Arabidopsis thaliana: one gene and its partner. The protein of the gene in region 1 interacts with the protein of each later gene in a pairwise test. Each region holds a gene or a part of one and is shown in the gene's direction. Other genes may lie near its edges.

Region 1 (8,618 bases):
TTACCTGAGAGTCTTGAGCGTAATTACGATTTCCTATATTGATTTGACTTGAGAGTTGAGAGTAGGAAAATATGAACGTTGTGAAACGGTAACATTTTTTATGAACGTTGTGAAACGGTAACATTTTTCGACCGTTTGATGTAATATTTTTTTTGTAAGAAATTCAGATTATGAGTCTATAAGTACTCCTTTCTTCGTTCAGAAATCTGAATTCTCTTATTCAGTTTATATTCTTACAAATGTCGAACACACTCTGTTTTTGTTCTTTTAGTTCTGTTCTCTTCTGTTCTGCTACTTGAGTTCTCGTTCTCACTCGAACTTAATGCTCATTAGCCGAGGGAGAAACGAATTTTTGAAGGCATATAAAGGTAAAAGTCTCTGCTCTAATAATTAATTCCTCTAGTTTTCCCTTTACCATTAGAAGATTTCTCTGTTAATTGCTGTGTTTGTCATCTTCCATACATGTTTTATAGAGTTCAACAAACATTAAGATGCTCTGTTTTAGCTGTCATGACTCTGTTTAGTTAGTGTAGTAAACTATTTTAGTTATATATGTGTGTCTTCAATTATATATATCATGTTGTGAGATCAATTATGTGTATGGTATTCTGAGTTTTATATATGTTCTGTACTAGGAAAACTGAATGGTTTTTTAATATTTGTGAAAAGCAAAGACATAAAAGGTTTTGTCTAAAAAGATTTTTGGATTTTTATAGTAAGCGTACTAATTATACATGAAGCAAAATTGTTGACAGCGGAAGATTAAAGAATTGTAATGAAAATTGATCTTGATTAATTTTGCAGAGTGGTAGTGAAGGAAACAGAGCATATTGGGCTGTGTCCAGAGTTTTCCATCTTCTGCTTGGCCAGCCTTTGAAGTTAACCAGACTCTGTGTATATAAACTATTGTAACATGTTTTTTTTGTTTTTTGATGACATGGATCATGTATAGATCATAGATGTGTGTATAGGGGTGTGGATGAAATAGCGGGGACGTGTGTAACATGTGTGTAGATGTATGTGTAGGGTGAATGTGTGTAGATGTATGTGTAGGGTGAATGTGTGTATGTCTAGTCTGCGTAGATGGGCGTGTGTCGAAACAAAATGATCACACACAAATGACTAACAAATCTAATCGCTCTAACCAAACGATCGCTAGTCGAAACACTAAAATTACTAACTTGGTCCCGAATCGTTAAAAGAACAAATGGCTACCAGTTCACACAAATGACCAACAAATCTGATCACTAACACTTAGTCGAAATTCACTAGAAAACTGAACAGACGATCGTTGGAACACACTAAAATTGCTAAACTAACTCGGTACCTAATCGTTTAAGACCAATAAACACACAAATAAATGAGGTACTTGTTCGGGAATTGAGGATTTTTGGATTTTTGAATTTAGTATTCGGAGATTTTAGAGTCTGATAACTTATTCAAACCACTCGAAAATACACAAAATATTTAAAAGTTTTTGAACAGTTTTTATTTAAATTTATTTAAATAATTTTAAATATCTGAAAATCTGCATATTTTGACAATTAGAATATGTAATATATAAATTGTGGATATAAAATCAGTTTTTCGGGTTTGAAATTTGGATTTAGATTTGATTTGGATTTGATCGGGGTTTGAAACCCTAAAACTGATGATCACCTAAATCGTTTTAGACTTCACTAATTAGTTAGATTTATTTTAAATTCTTTACAGGTCGGACCAAACCGATGGATTCAGCCGACGTTTTCATTATAATTTTTTTAAAAAACATCTAACTTCGGATTTGAACCATCAGGCCATGTGACTCGAGCAAAGTGTTTGTTAAGTTGACATAGGCGTGCATAAAACACGAATTATATATTCACTATACCAAAAAAAAAAGTTATATAGAGAGAGGCAGAAACTTACAAGTTAGAATCTCAGAACACACAAAGAGTAGCAAAACATCAAAAGTGTACTTGGACCACTTTTGTCTGGCATTTCACATTTGCATGCATGAAAGATAATAAAAATCTATAAATAGTTGAGCCTTTTAAGTTTAATTCGGAAAAAAAAACGCTTCATTCTTTTTTTTGCTTTAACTTAAACTTTTGTTTCTTCTCACCGCTCGAAAAGATAATCAAATTTAAAGACAGTAAAAACATCAAAGTTTATTAGCTGACACGTGATTGTCACAATCACGTTATTACTATACTTACTACTACACTACCAACAAAATAAAAGAGCACCTTGGTAAAATGATATAATACATTTCTTTTATATCTTATAAAATTCTACAAACCGAAAGATCAAACATGCTCGCGGTCGTATAGTTTTTTTTTTTTTTAATTTATGTTAAAGGGTTTTTTGCGGTCGTATAGTTGTAGACTTGTTTCTACTTTACAATTTCAAAAAGCTGTGTGTTTTGGTGCGCATCGGTGATTTCTAAAACTTAGTTGGATAAGAATATATTGTATGAACAGGAGTTTATCTTTACAATTTTTTAAGACTCCGACTGATAATGAAGAAACGAGAAAATATGAAAATTGTAAGAATAACAGATATAATATAGAATGAAATTTGATTTTTGAAAGTAAGATAATCGTTTTCAAGGAAAAATTTTCTTTATTATTGCAATGAATTTTGTGTAATTCATTTGCTTCCTACAAAATACGACTTTGTTAACTAAAATGACAATGAGCTAATGTTTGATGTTTCATTCCATAACATGACTATATAGTAGTTGAAAGTTGAAACCAGTGGCTCGATGACTATTTGCCATGTAACCTCAAGCAAGAAATTCTCGTGTGGTGTTTTCAAGCAACTCGTCGCGTAGCTAGCTTTATTTTCATGTGGTAGAAAATTACTAATTACTATTTATAAATAAAAAATACTAATCTCCTTACAAATATACTAATGTAGAATCTTTGGAGGTGATAGAGCACTAGTTATTGACCTCAACTTGCAAGAGAACAAAAATAAATACTTTTATAAATATTAAAAACCTTATAGTTAAATCTTATAAGTTGGGTAAAACAGAAGACAGTATATTTGGGTAAACTAAAACCATATTAAAGAAAGACCATAATGTGTAAAAAACAAAGACCATATTGTGTAACAAACAGAGACCATATTTTGAACTTAAATGAGTATATGACGTAGTTCTTATACAAATATACAGTCTGCTTTTTCATTCAAAGGTATATGCAATGATGATAGATATTGAAATTATTGTGTCTAAAAGTGACCCTAGAATCAAAAAACAGTGGTCAAAGATCTACCAGAGCAAATGGTTCAAATATCATTATAGATGGATTTTGAGTCAAATTTTACATTCAAAACTTCTTTTTATTTGTGGCATGAATTTACATTAGTTTTTTTGGGGTCATTTTTATTTTGTTCAATGTCGGATATTGAAAATAAAATATCATGATTCAGCGTATATTTCGATCATAATATCAAATTGCATTATTTAGTCAAACAATTTTGTTAAAAAATATTTCCTAAGATTTATAGAATTCAATACTGTTTTAAACTATTAGTCAAACTATATATATTTTACTGTTATTAAAACAAGGAATAAAATTATGAAATATCAAAAAATATGTAAAGACATATACTATGATTAAATCTTTCAACATTCAATATTTTACCATTGAATATACAAAAATGTTAACTGTTAACTATGCATACAAGACCGAAATACAAATTCCAAAAAACTTATGGCGCAAATCTGATACCGAACTACCAACGATATTCACTCGATTCATCATCTAAAAACTAAAATACAACGAATAAAACCAACTAACTTTTCAATTCTCACCTCAATTTCCTACCACATTTTCATAATTTTCCAACTTCTCACATTTGTTACCATGATAGTCAATTCACTTTCTAAAATCTTCAAATTTTATCTTACATTTTTCATCTTCTTCACCATTATATATAGCCTCTCTCCTTCTCACACAATCTCCATCTTACCCTAAAAACCACATTTCTTAACTTCCTCAATAAAAAAAAGAAAAGCTTCACCCTTTAATTTTACCCTCAACCCCAAAACAAAAACCCCTTCCTCCACGAGGGCATACAGAAATATCAAAGACCCAATCTTTCTTTCACTTCCCCAATCTCTAGATGACAATCTAACGATACAGTTCCTTTTAGATCGATTACCAAATACAAAGGATCAATTTTTCTTACATGAACACTCTGTTGTAATGGCAGAGGAGAATCTAGAACTGAGTCTTTTATGTACAGAGAGCAACGTTGATGATGAGGGCATGATTGTTGACGAAACTCCGATTGAAATTTCGATTCCTCAGATGGGTTTTTCTCAATCGGAGAGTGAGGAGATTATCATGGAGATGGTGGAGAAGGAGAAGCAGCATTTGCCAAGTGATGATTACATCAAGAGACTTAGAAGTGGAGATTTGGATTTGAATGTTGGAAGAAGAGATGCCCTCAATTGGATTTGGAAGGTCTGATTCTCTATTTGATTTTGATTTCTGGTTTTGAAATTTGGATGTTGATTGGTTTTGAATGATCTGTATAAGCTCAAATTGTGAAAAGCACAATCCTTTTGATGAATGATCTGAACATAAAGAGTGTGTTGCTATGTCTATTAGATCAGAGGCTTATGCAGAACAGATAGAGAGGTTTTGTCTTAAATCTGTAAATCTGATGCTCAATTTCCGATCTTTCACACTTCAATTGACAATAGATTCACTTCAGTCTCAGAGTTTTAGATCTCTAATTGATCTTTTCTTCTGTTCTGATTACAACAGGCTTGTGAAGTACACCAGTTTGGACCATTGTGTTTTTGCTTAGCAATGAACTACTTGGATCGATTCTTATCGGTTCATGATTTGCCTGTAAGTTCACATTGGTTAAACTAAAAGATTGATAATGTTTTTAGCCATTCATCATCAAAAAGTCTCATTTTTTCGCTTCTTGATTTGTGATTCTTCTTGTAGAGTGGCAAAGGTTGGATATTGCAGTTGTTGGCTGTGGCTTGTTTATCATTGGCAGCCAAAATTGAAGAAACTGAAGTTCCAATGTTGATAGATCTTCAGGTTCTCCTCTAAACTCGTTAAATTGTCGAGATGTTCTATTCGACCCGACAATGTCTTGAATCGATTGCGGTTTGATCACATTTCGGAACAGGTTGGAGATCCTCAGTTTGTGTTTGAGGCTAAATCAGTCCAAAGAATGGAGCTTTTGGTGTTGAACAAATTGAAATGGAGATTGAGAGCAATAACTCCATGCTCATACATAAGATATTTCCTGAGAAAGATGAGTAAATGTGATCAAGAACCATCCAACACATTGATATCTAGATCATTACAAGTGATAGCCAGCACAACCAAAGGTGAAAAAAAAAGTCTTTCCTTTATGTTTTATTTTCTTGACCACTTTTGTTTTTGTGCTTTTTTGGGTTTTGTTGTTTTTTTCACTTTTGCTTTTTATGATTTTGGATTAAAATGGTGGTTGTGTCGAGTGAGCAGGTATTGACTTTTTGGAGTTTAGACCTTCTGAAGTTGCTGCTGCTGTGGCACTTTCTGTTTCTGGAGAATTGCAGAGAGTACACTTTGACAACTCTTCCTTCTCTCCTCTTTTCTCACTACTTCAAAAGGTAAAAAACAATCCACCAAACATCTCAAACTCATAAATCTATTGTTTTTTAATACCAAACACACACACACATATAAAGCAGCCTTTGGTGGTTCAATTTCAAGGAAATGCCAGTTGTGGAGAAGTTTGAACTCATTAAAGATGACACATTTATGTGTATATATGTGTGTGCACTAACTTATTCATTGCATACACATAATATGTGTAATTATAAATCCAAAAAGTAAAAAAAAAAAAAAAAAAAAAAAGAGAAACCGGTTAATGGGTCTGAATCCTTTGACTTCCAAAACTAGTGGAGAGTAGACCAAAGACCACTTTAAATTATATTATTCTCTAGCTATGTGTCTTGTGACTCTCTCTGTCACACACACACATTCACTGCACAGCCTCTAGTCACATCTAAAACCAATCTGCCCCCACAAAAACATGTTTGATTCTGATTTGATCTTGCAATCCAAAACATCAGCCTGGTTTCCATTAGTTGTTTTTCTACACCAGAAAAAGCTGAAGAGATCTTTGTGTGTTGTGTTTGTGTTTGTGTTCAAGAGACAAAAACAAAAGTGTCAAGCTTTAAACTTTGTGGTTCCTTTTATTGCAGGAGAGAGTGAAGAAGATAGGGGAAATGATAGAGAGTGATGGCTCAGACTTATGTTCACAAACACCCAATGGGGTTTTAGAAGTATCGGCTTGTTGTTTCAGCTTTAAGACCCATGATTCTTCTTCTTCTTATACACATCTTTCTTAAAAAAAAAACTGTTTTTTTCTTACATTATTATAATCAGTATGATGTCTGATGAGAGGTTGAAAAAAGAGGACAATAAATCAAAGCAAAAATTTTTAAATAAATAAAAGTGTATTAATTTCAATATTTGATTTGTTTATAGCTTTGGTAATACTGAACAAATAAAATTATAAGAATTTTTTGTTGGCAGGAAATAGCAAAAAAGAGAAAGAAAATAAAACAAAGGAAAAACAGAGCTTTTTTTAATTGGTTCCCGCCAAATAAATATAGCGGGAAAAAACCGTATCGGTTCTGTTGAGCGTTAGAGTTGACCTTTTTTAATTCAAACGGTGCCGTTGTGAGATAAAGCGCGCATCGCACTAATGGGCTTAGAATTGGGCCCACGAACAGAAGTCTTTGACTTAAAGTTGACGTAAAGAGACCAAAGCTAGGTTGTGCTTTATGGAGCTTTTGCGTTTTATACCTTTTATCAACAAAACTCCAAAATCCCAATATTTTATTGAAAACTTTTTAACAAAAAATAAATAAAATGATTGGACTCCAGGTCCACTAAACCTCTAGGATCTGTAACTATGAAGAAAATGGGCCAATGCTATATTCATTAAATTTAATCATTTGGGTCTACCATTGTCGCATGGCATACTAGCAATTTGATGATCCTGAAATAAAATAATTGTGCGTGGAGATAATTTATGAAGATTTCCCCTTTTTGTATCATTTTTTAAATAGACATTTTTAATCTGAAAAGGTTAAAAAAAAGTCTCTATACATCATTAAACAAGTCGGTCTAATCTTGTGAAATAGTTGTGTAAGAAAAAAACTTAAATTATGTATTAACAAATGCTAGTTGGTATATATTTTCTTTAAAATAATTACAATTTTAACTCATAACATTTGTTGTATTCAGTTATTTTCTATATGTCTCAATAATCAATAAAATAAATAATGTTAGTAATAACCATCATGTAATTGGTGAATGTGAAAGATCATCTGTCATTGAAAACTTTGTGAATATGATTTTATCACTGCATATACTAGACTTTTAAATTTATTTAGCTTTTCACTAATTATATTAATGGTGTTCAATTTTAGGATCCTAGACACAGTCAAAATTAATCTTCACGGAATGATATATATATATATATATATACGTACATAATTATATGTCTGTGTACGATTGTGTGAAAATTTTGAAATGAAGAAACTATTTGGAGTTGGACAGAGGACTAAGTGAAGACAACAATACAAAACAAATAAACTTTTATAATTCTTTCATTGGGCTTTGTCATAATGAGTCGTCACAGTCATTCAACTGTCCAAATTATATATTTTTTATTTTCCCTGAAATAAAAGTTGCTAAAAGTTATAGCTTCTAAACTTTTCTCAACCTTTGCCTTTTCTTTTACATATGAACTAAAGAGAAAATACTTTTCCTTTTTTTCCCAACTATTAATTTGTATTAGATTAGCAAATTCAACTAAGATGGTACAAACCATCCCACTAGACCCAAATACAAATCTAAAATATTTTTCCTTTCGTATAAAGAAAAACAAATTACGTATTTAAGAATTCCATACAATCGTAAAATTCTTTGAATCATGGTACGACATGACTAATTAACTACATATCTAAGAATAAGTAAAAATTGAAATGTAAAGCAGGAAAGAAAAAAAAAATTATTCATTGCACGTGAATCATCATCAGTTTCCCAAATTAGGGCAATGTTTATGAAGCTAAGAGTATGCCCATATCATATAGTTTAAAGAAATATAAAACCCTAACCCTAGCTTGTCCTACTAACCCTAGCTTGTCCTACATTTAAATTTACGCAATCAAAATAAAGCTTTTTACTTTTTCATATTAAAAAACTACTTGTTTCGAAACTTAGCTTGAAAGGGAGGTAATAAACCCTGCTTGCGGGTCACATTTAGATTCCCTAAATGAAGCATAACGACAGTAACAATTCCACAGTAAAAACACTGTGAGAATGATGATGATGGTGATGATAATGATGATGATGATGATATAAACGTATACACTCATATAATATATGTATGGTACATAATATACACATTGATGGGTCGTTGTCCGATGGGTTTCTGCGTATTGACTGAAAGATTCCATGAAGAGGACCACAGTAAAATTAAAAAATCATGTTTAAATAAATAGTATTATTATCTGATCAAAATATTATGCTCCTCAATAATTTCAATTTCACCATACATCCAAAAACAACCCTAAAATTCATTTACTTAACTACTTTTCT
Region 2 (5,475 bases), 680 kb from region 1:
GAGATACCGTTCGCTAGTCCTTGTGTTATTGGTCATGAGATTACTGGTGAAGTTGTTGAACATGGTCCACTTACTGATCACAAGATCATTAATAGGTTTGTCAACTTTACTTCACCTCCACACTAATGGAATCATATGTTTTGAAGAAATCCTAAATGTCTCAACTTTTCTTCAGATTTCCAATCGGGTCTCGTGTAGTTGGAGCTTTCATTATGCCTTGTGGAACCTGTTCTTATTGTGCTAAGGTGAGAACGAAATTGTATTGCTTTCATCGGATTCTCTAATCTGAGAACTGTAGCTTTTTAGCTGATATTTTAATTTGGATACAGGGCCATGATGATCTATGTGAAGACTTCTTTGCTTACAACAGAGCCAAGGGAACTCTTTACGATGGCGAAACTCGTCTCTTTTTGCGACATGATGGTAAATTTGAAGACTTTTTAAACATCAGGTGGCATATTAGGAGAACTGTGATTGTTTTACCTAATTACATTTCTTAATTTCTGGCAGATTCACCAGTGTATATGTATAGTATGGGAGGGATGGCTGAGTACTGTGTTACACCAGCTCATGGTTTAGCTCCTCTACCAGAGTCTTTGCCCTACTCTGAATCTGCCATTCTGGGATGTGCTGTTTTTACAGCATATGGTGCTATGGCTCATGCTGCTGAGATCCGTCCTGGAGATTCTATTGCAGTTATTGGAATTGGTGGTGTGGGCTCCAGGTATGTTAAATGTGTGGCATTTTCTTTTCTTTACCGGATTTGGGTTTTATTGCTTCTTGTATGACCATAACCATCTTTGAGTTGTTGCTTCAGTTGTTTGCAGATCGCAAGGGCTTTTGGAGCCTCGGATATCATTGCTGTGGATGTTCAGGATGATAAATTACAGAAGGCCAAGACACTTGGTGCTACTCATATTGTCAATGCTGCTAAAGAAGATGCTGTTGAAAGGATAAGAGTATGGTTGATTCAAGACCTCTTATTTGTGAAGATGAACCATTGATTGATATAAATATGAAAAACTGTTTCTTCTTCGTAGGAAATAACCGGTGGGATGGGTGTTGATGTTGCTGTTGAAGCCTTGGGAAAGCCTCAAACTTTCATGCAGTGCACACTAAGTGTGAAAGATGGTGGAAAAGCTGTGATGATTGGACTCTCACAAGCTGGTTCCGTTGGAGAAATTGACATAAATCGACTTGTTCGTAGAAAGGTTTGGGGTTCTTACTCTCTCTCTCTCGGCCTTGTTAGAAGAAAGTCTCTGGTACTGAGATTGTCTTTTAAGATCATGATATTGAATCTCTTTTTGTTCTGTTTTTCCAATTTTTTGTGAAGATAAAAGTTATAGGATCTTATGGAGGAAGAGCAAGACAGGATCTTCCTAAAGTAGTGAAATTGGCAGAGTCAGGGATTTTCAATCTCACAAACGCAGTCTCAAGTAAATACAAGTTTGAAGATGCAGGAAAAGCATTTCAAGATCTCAACGAAGGCAAAATCGTGAGCCGAGGTGTTGTTGAGATACTATAACCAATATAGCCTTTTGATTCTGGTTTGTGAATGACTGCTTCACACCTGTTTCACTGAGGTCTATTTTTAGTTGCTACAATCTTCAGACAAGGTCATTGTTAATCTGATATTTGTGTTTGTTTAGACAGTGAAAAGGAAAAAAAAAAACTGTAGTAACTGGACAAAATTTATAATTTTACTGTTTTTCATTTCTTTCCAACATTTATTGTTTTTCTATACTGTTAATATTTTTAATTTCTTCCCTCTTTTCACAATTTTCTACTTTCTAAGAATATTAATAACTGACATATATATAAAAAAACACAATTTATTTCTCTTTTGATAAAATTATCTATAAATCATTAAATCTTTGATGAGAAATATCCAATCTACTAATGTATATCGATGATTTAAATGAAATTACTTATTTGAACACAAAAATAAATGAATTTACTAATAAATAAATAGCGTAGTTGGAGCAAGTGGCTAAAAAAATTACAAATCTAGTTTCCATTCTCAGCGTCGGCTGCTTGGAACGTCACCGTTTTCTGGAAAACGCAATCTTCTCCCTTCCGTGACGTCTCACCGGAATTTTCTCGCTTTTGTCTACTCTCCTCCATCTCCGAGGTTCTCCAAGCTCAGCTCCTCTTCCCATCATTCATCCGACCGCCTTATCCGGTCAGATCCTTTACGTATTTCTATTTTCCTGATCGTCGATTTTTGAGAAATGTAAAAACAGATCGTATAAGGCCTCGAAGTTTTTAATTTGAAAGTGGTATCGAAATTTTTTGGTCTTTGATTAGGTTAGGGCACCGTAGCTCTGGGTATTGAATTTGTAGGGTTTTCCTCTGGTTATTGGTCTTTGGAGCTTGGTAATTTCTGCTGAATTGATTGATCCCTTTTCCATCTTTTGAAGTAAAGTCTCGAGCTTTCGTGTCTCGATGTAGATGAATTCTATTTTGAATATGAGATTTGATAAGACGTCAATTGCTGATAATTTGGAGTCTTTGTGTCTGAATTTGTTCATATGAAGTTTTCTGAGGGATGTGAATTTTATTGTCTGCTAATTTTGAAACGTTCCTTTTGGAATTTGGTTTGTGAGGAGTCCTAGATCTTTTTCTGTGAAGTTTCTTGCTTGTAAGTTTTCTGGATCACTTGATTGAGTCTAGAATCTAGATAGATTACATGTACGGTTTGATTCCTTTGGCTGATTTTCCAAAGTTTTGTTCAAATTTCAGGAGAACTACAAAGAGGAAACCAAGATTGTTTTGTTTTGTTAGACTCTACCCCTTTTCCGATTCACATGGTAAGGACATTGAGGTAGAGAATAATACTAAAAAGCAATGGGAGATGGGAGTTCCAGTAGATCCAACAGCTCAAACAGCACTAGTGAGAAACCAGAGTGGCTGCAACAGTACAATCTCGTTGGTAAGATTGGTGAAGGCACTTATGGTCTTGTTTTCTTGGCTAGAACCAAGACTCCGCCTAAAAGACCTATTGCTATCAAGAAGTTTAAGCAGTCCAAAGATGGAGATGGAGTTTCCCCGACTGCTATCCGCGAGATCATGTTGCTTAGAGAGATTTCCCATGAGAACGTCGTGAAGCTTGTGAATGTCCACATCAATTTTGCAGACATGTCTCTGTATCTTGCCTTTGATTATGCCGAGTACGATCTCTATGAAATCATCAGGCACCACAGAGACAAAGTCGGCCATTCGTTAAACACATACACAGTTAAGTCTTTGCTCTGGCAGCTTCTCAACGGATTGAACTATCTTCACAGTAATTGGATTATACACAGAGATTTGAAACCGTCGAATATCTTGGTTATGGGTGATGCAGAAGAGCACGGAATAGTGAAAATAGCTGATTTCGGGCTCGCAAGGATATATCAAGCTCCGTTGAAACCACTATCGGATAACGGAGTTGTGGTCACAATCTGGTACCGAGCACCAGAGCTGCTTCTTGGTTCGAAGCACTACACGAGCGCTGTTGATATGTGGGCAGTTGGGTGTATATTCGCGGAGTTACTAACTCTTAAACCGTTGTTTCAAGGAGCAGAAGCGAAATCGTCTCAAAACCCTTTCCAGTTAGATCAACTTGACAAGATATTCAAGATCTTAGGCCACCCGACGATGGATAAATGGCCAACACTAGTTAACCTTCCACACTGGCAAAATGATGTTCAACACATTCAAGCTCACAAATACGACAGTGTGGGTCTCCACAACGTGGTTCACCTGAATCAGAAAAGTCCTGCGTATGATCTGTTATCCAAAATGCTGGAATATGATCCTCTAAAGCGGATCACGGCTTCACAAGCACTAGAACACGAGTATTTCCGAATGGATCCTCTCCCAGGACGGAACGCATTTGTAGCCAGCCAACCGATGGAGAAGAATGTGAATTACCCAACTCGTCCAGTAGATACAAACACCGATTTCGAAGGCACGACAAGCATCAATCCGCCTCAAGCAGTAGCAGCAGGAAACGTAGCAGGGAACATGGCAGGAGCTCATGGAATGGGCAGTAGATCGATGCCAAGACCAATGGTTGCACATAACATGCAGAGGATGCAGCAATCTCAAGGCATGATGGCTTATAATTTCCCGGCACAGGCAGGGCTTAACCCGAGTGTTCCGCTGCAGCAGCAGCGCGGGATGGCTCAACCGCACCAGCAGCAACAGCTAAGAAGGAAAGATCCCGGAATGGGTATGTCAGGTTACGCACCTCCTAACAAATCCAGACGCCTCTAAAGGTAAAATCGAGATCATCAGTCTCGGGTTAGAATCTGTGTGTTTGCCGCAGAAGAAAGCGTTGCGATTTGCTTTATAGAGTAGAGTTAGATTGTAATGCAGCATGTGGAATGTTGCTATTCATATGGATGGATTGGATTCTCTGTAGTTTTTGTATAAACATCCTCTCAAGTATTTGTTAATTATATTAGATCATCATTTCTCTTAACATCATTTCTCAAAACGTAGTAAATAGGAGATTTGCCAAGTGAAAAATATATATAATGAGACAGTTATTATGAACACAATTTACAGTTATTATGAACACAATTTTGGTGATGTTTCTACTGTTTATGAAATTTGTTTTTTTTTTACCTGCCAGTCTTATCTATTTACCACCAACATACATTAGAATCTAATGTAATTACATCATCAATCATAGACCTAATGAATATTTAATACCACACAGTTTAAACATTGCTATTAAAGTTTGAAAAGATTATACTTTAGTAAAATAATGTTTTCAAACTTGTATTCAATTATACTACGTAAGCAGTGATCCAATTATTACGAACATAATACTTTTCCAAATCAAAATTTTGTTTTTGTTCACCTTACCATCAGTTTCATAATAGAAATATTATATATATACAACACAAACAAATGAATGAGAAATGTTTTTCTATTATTATGACTTTTATTTAAGATTCAAAAGAACGAAGAAGAGTTATATATATGCTTGTTTGTTTCAGGACAAATACAATAAATAAGTGGATAAGAAAACCACAAACCTTGAACTAGCCTGAAATGTGTGAACCAAGCTATACAAACTGTACGTGATTCTGCATCGTGGAAGTCACAAACAGACTTCTGACTTCTGCTAAAGATAAAACTCACTGTTTGCAAGCAATTTAGTATAAATATGAAGCATTGACCTACCAAGATCGACACAATCACACAGTTTCTTCTTAATTAAACCTAGCTATTTTTGTCTTTAGCAGAAGTCAGAAAGCTAGTTTTGTATTTTTCTTATTTCTTAAATATATGGCGGCCAATGTTATGAGACGGTTTATGATTTAAAGATACACAATGGACCCACGACGTTGCCATAATACAATTATTAGGCTGTTAATTAACGTGATCGTTACGTTTGCTACAAACTAGCTAGTTGTGTCTTCTTTATTTTAGTAGATAAGTATAAGAGTCTAAAAATATTACAACCCAATAATGGTTACA

The links.
Region 2: the proteins of CYCD4;1 (region 1) and CDKE;1 interact in a two-hybrid assay, tested with the Arabidopsis thaliana proteins (one large-scale study listed by BioGRID).

What each region holds. Positions count from the first base shown.
Region 1 is NC_003076.8:26,139,329-26,147,946, reverse strand, and holds CYCD4;1 (CYCLIN D4;1), read left to right. Parts: upstream 1-3,953; 5' UTR 3,954-4,196; coding exon 4,197-4,457; intron 4,458-4,604; coding exon 4,605-4,634; intron 4,635-4,763; coding exon 4,764-4,850; intron 4,851-4,952; coding exon 4,953-5,051; intron 5,052-5,142; coding exon 5,143-5,347; coding exon of another isoform or gene 5,348-5,421; intron 5,422-5,483; coding exon 5,484-5,611; coding exon of another isoform or gene 5,612-5,647; exon of another isoform or gene 5,648-5,834; coding exon of another isoform or gene 5,835-5,837; exon of another isoform or gene 5,838-6,208; coding exon 6,209-6,355; 3' UTR 6,356-6,477; downstream 6,478-8,618. UniProt on the Arabidopsis thaliana protein: May activate cell cycle in the root apical meristem (RAM) and promote embryonic root (radicle) protrusion.
Region 2 is NC_003076.8:25,462,430-25,467,904, reverse strand, and holds CDKE;1 (cyclin-dependent kinase E;1), read left to right. Parts: upstream 1-1,982; 5' UTR 1,983-2,182; intron 2,183-2,742; 5' UTR 2,743-2,847; coding exon 2,848-4,260; 3' UTR 4,261-4,543; downstream 4,544-5,475. Other genes in the region: AT5G63620 (GroES-like zinc-binding alcohol dehydrogenase family protein), read left to right, coding at 1-95, 176-245, 330-423, 511-724, 818-959, 1,041-1,218, 1,341-1,525. UniProt on the Arabidopsis thaliana protein: Involved in cell differentiation. Required for the specification of stamen and carpel identities and for the proper termination of stem cells in the floral meristem.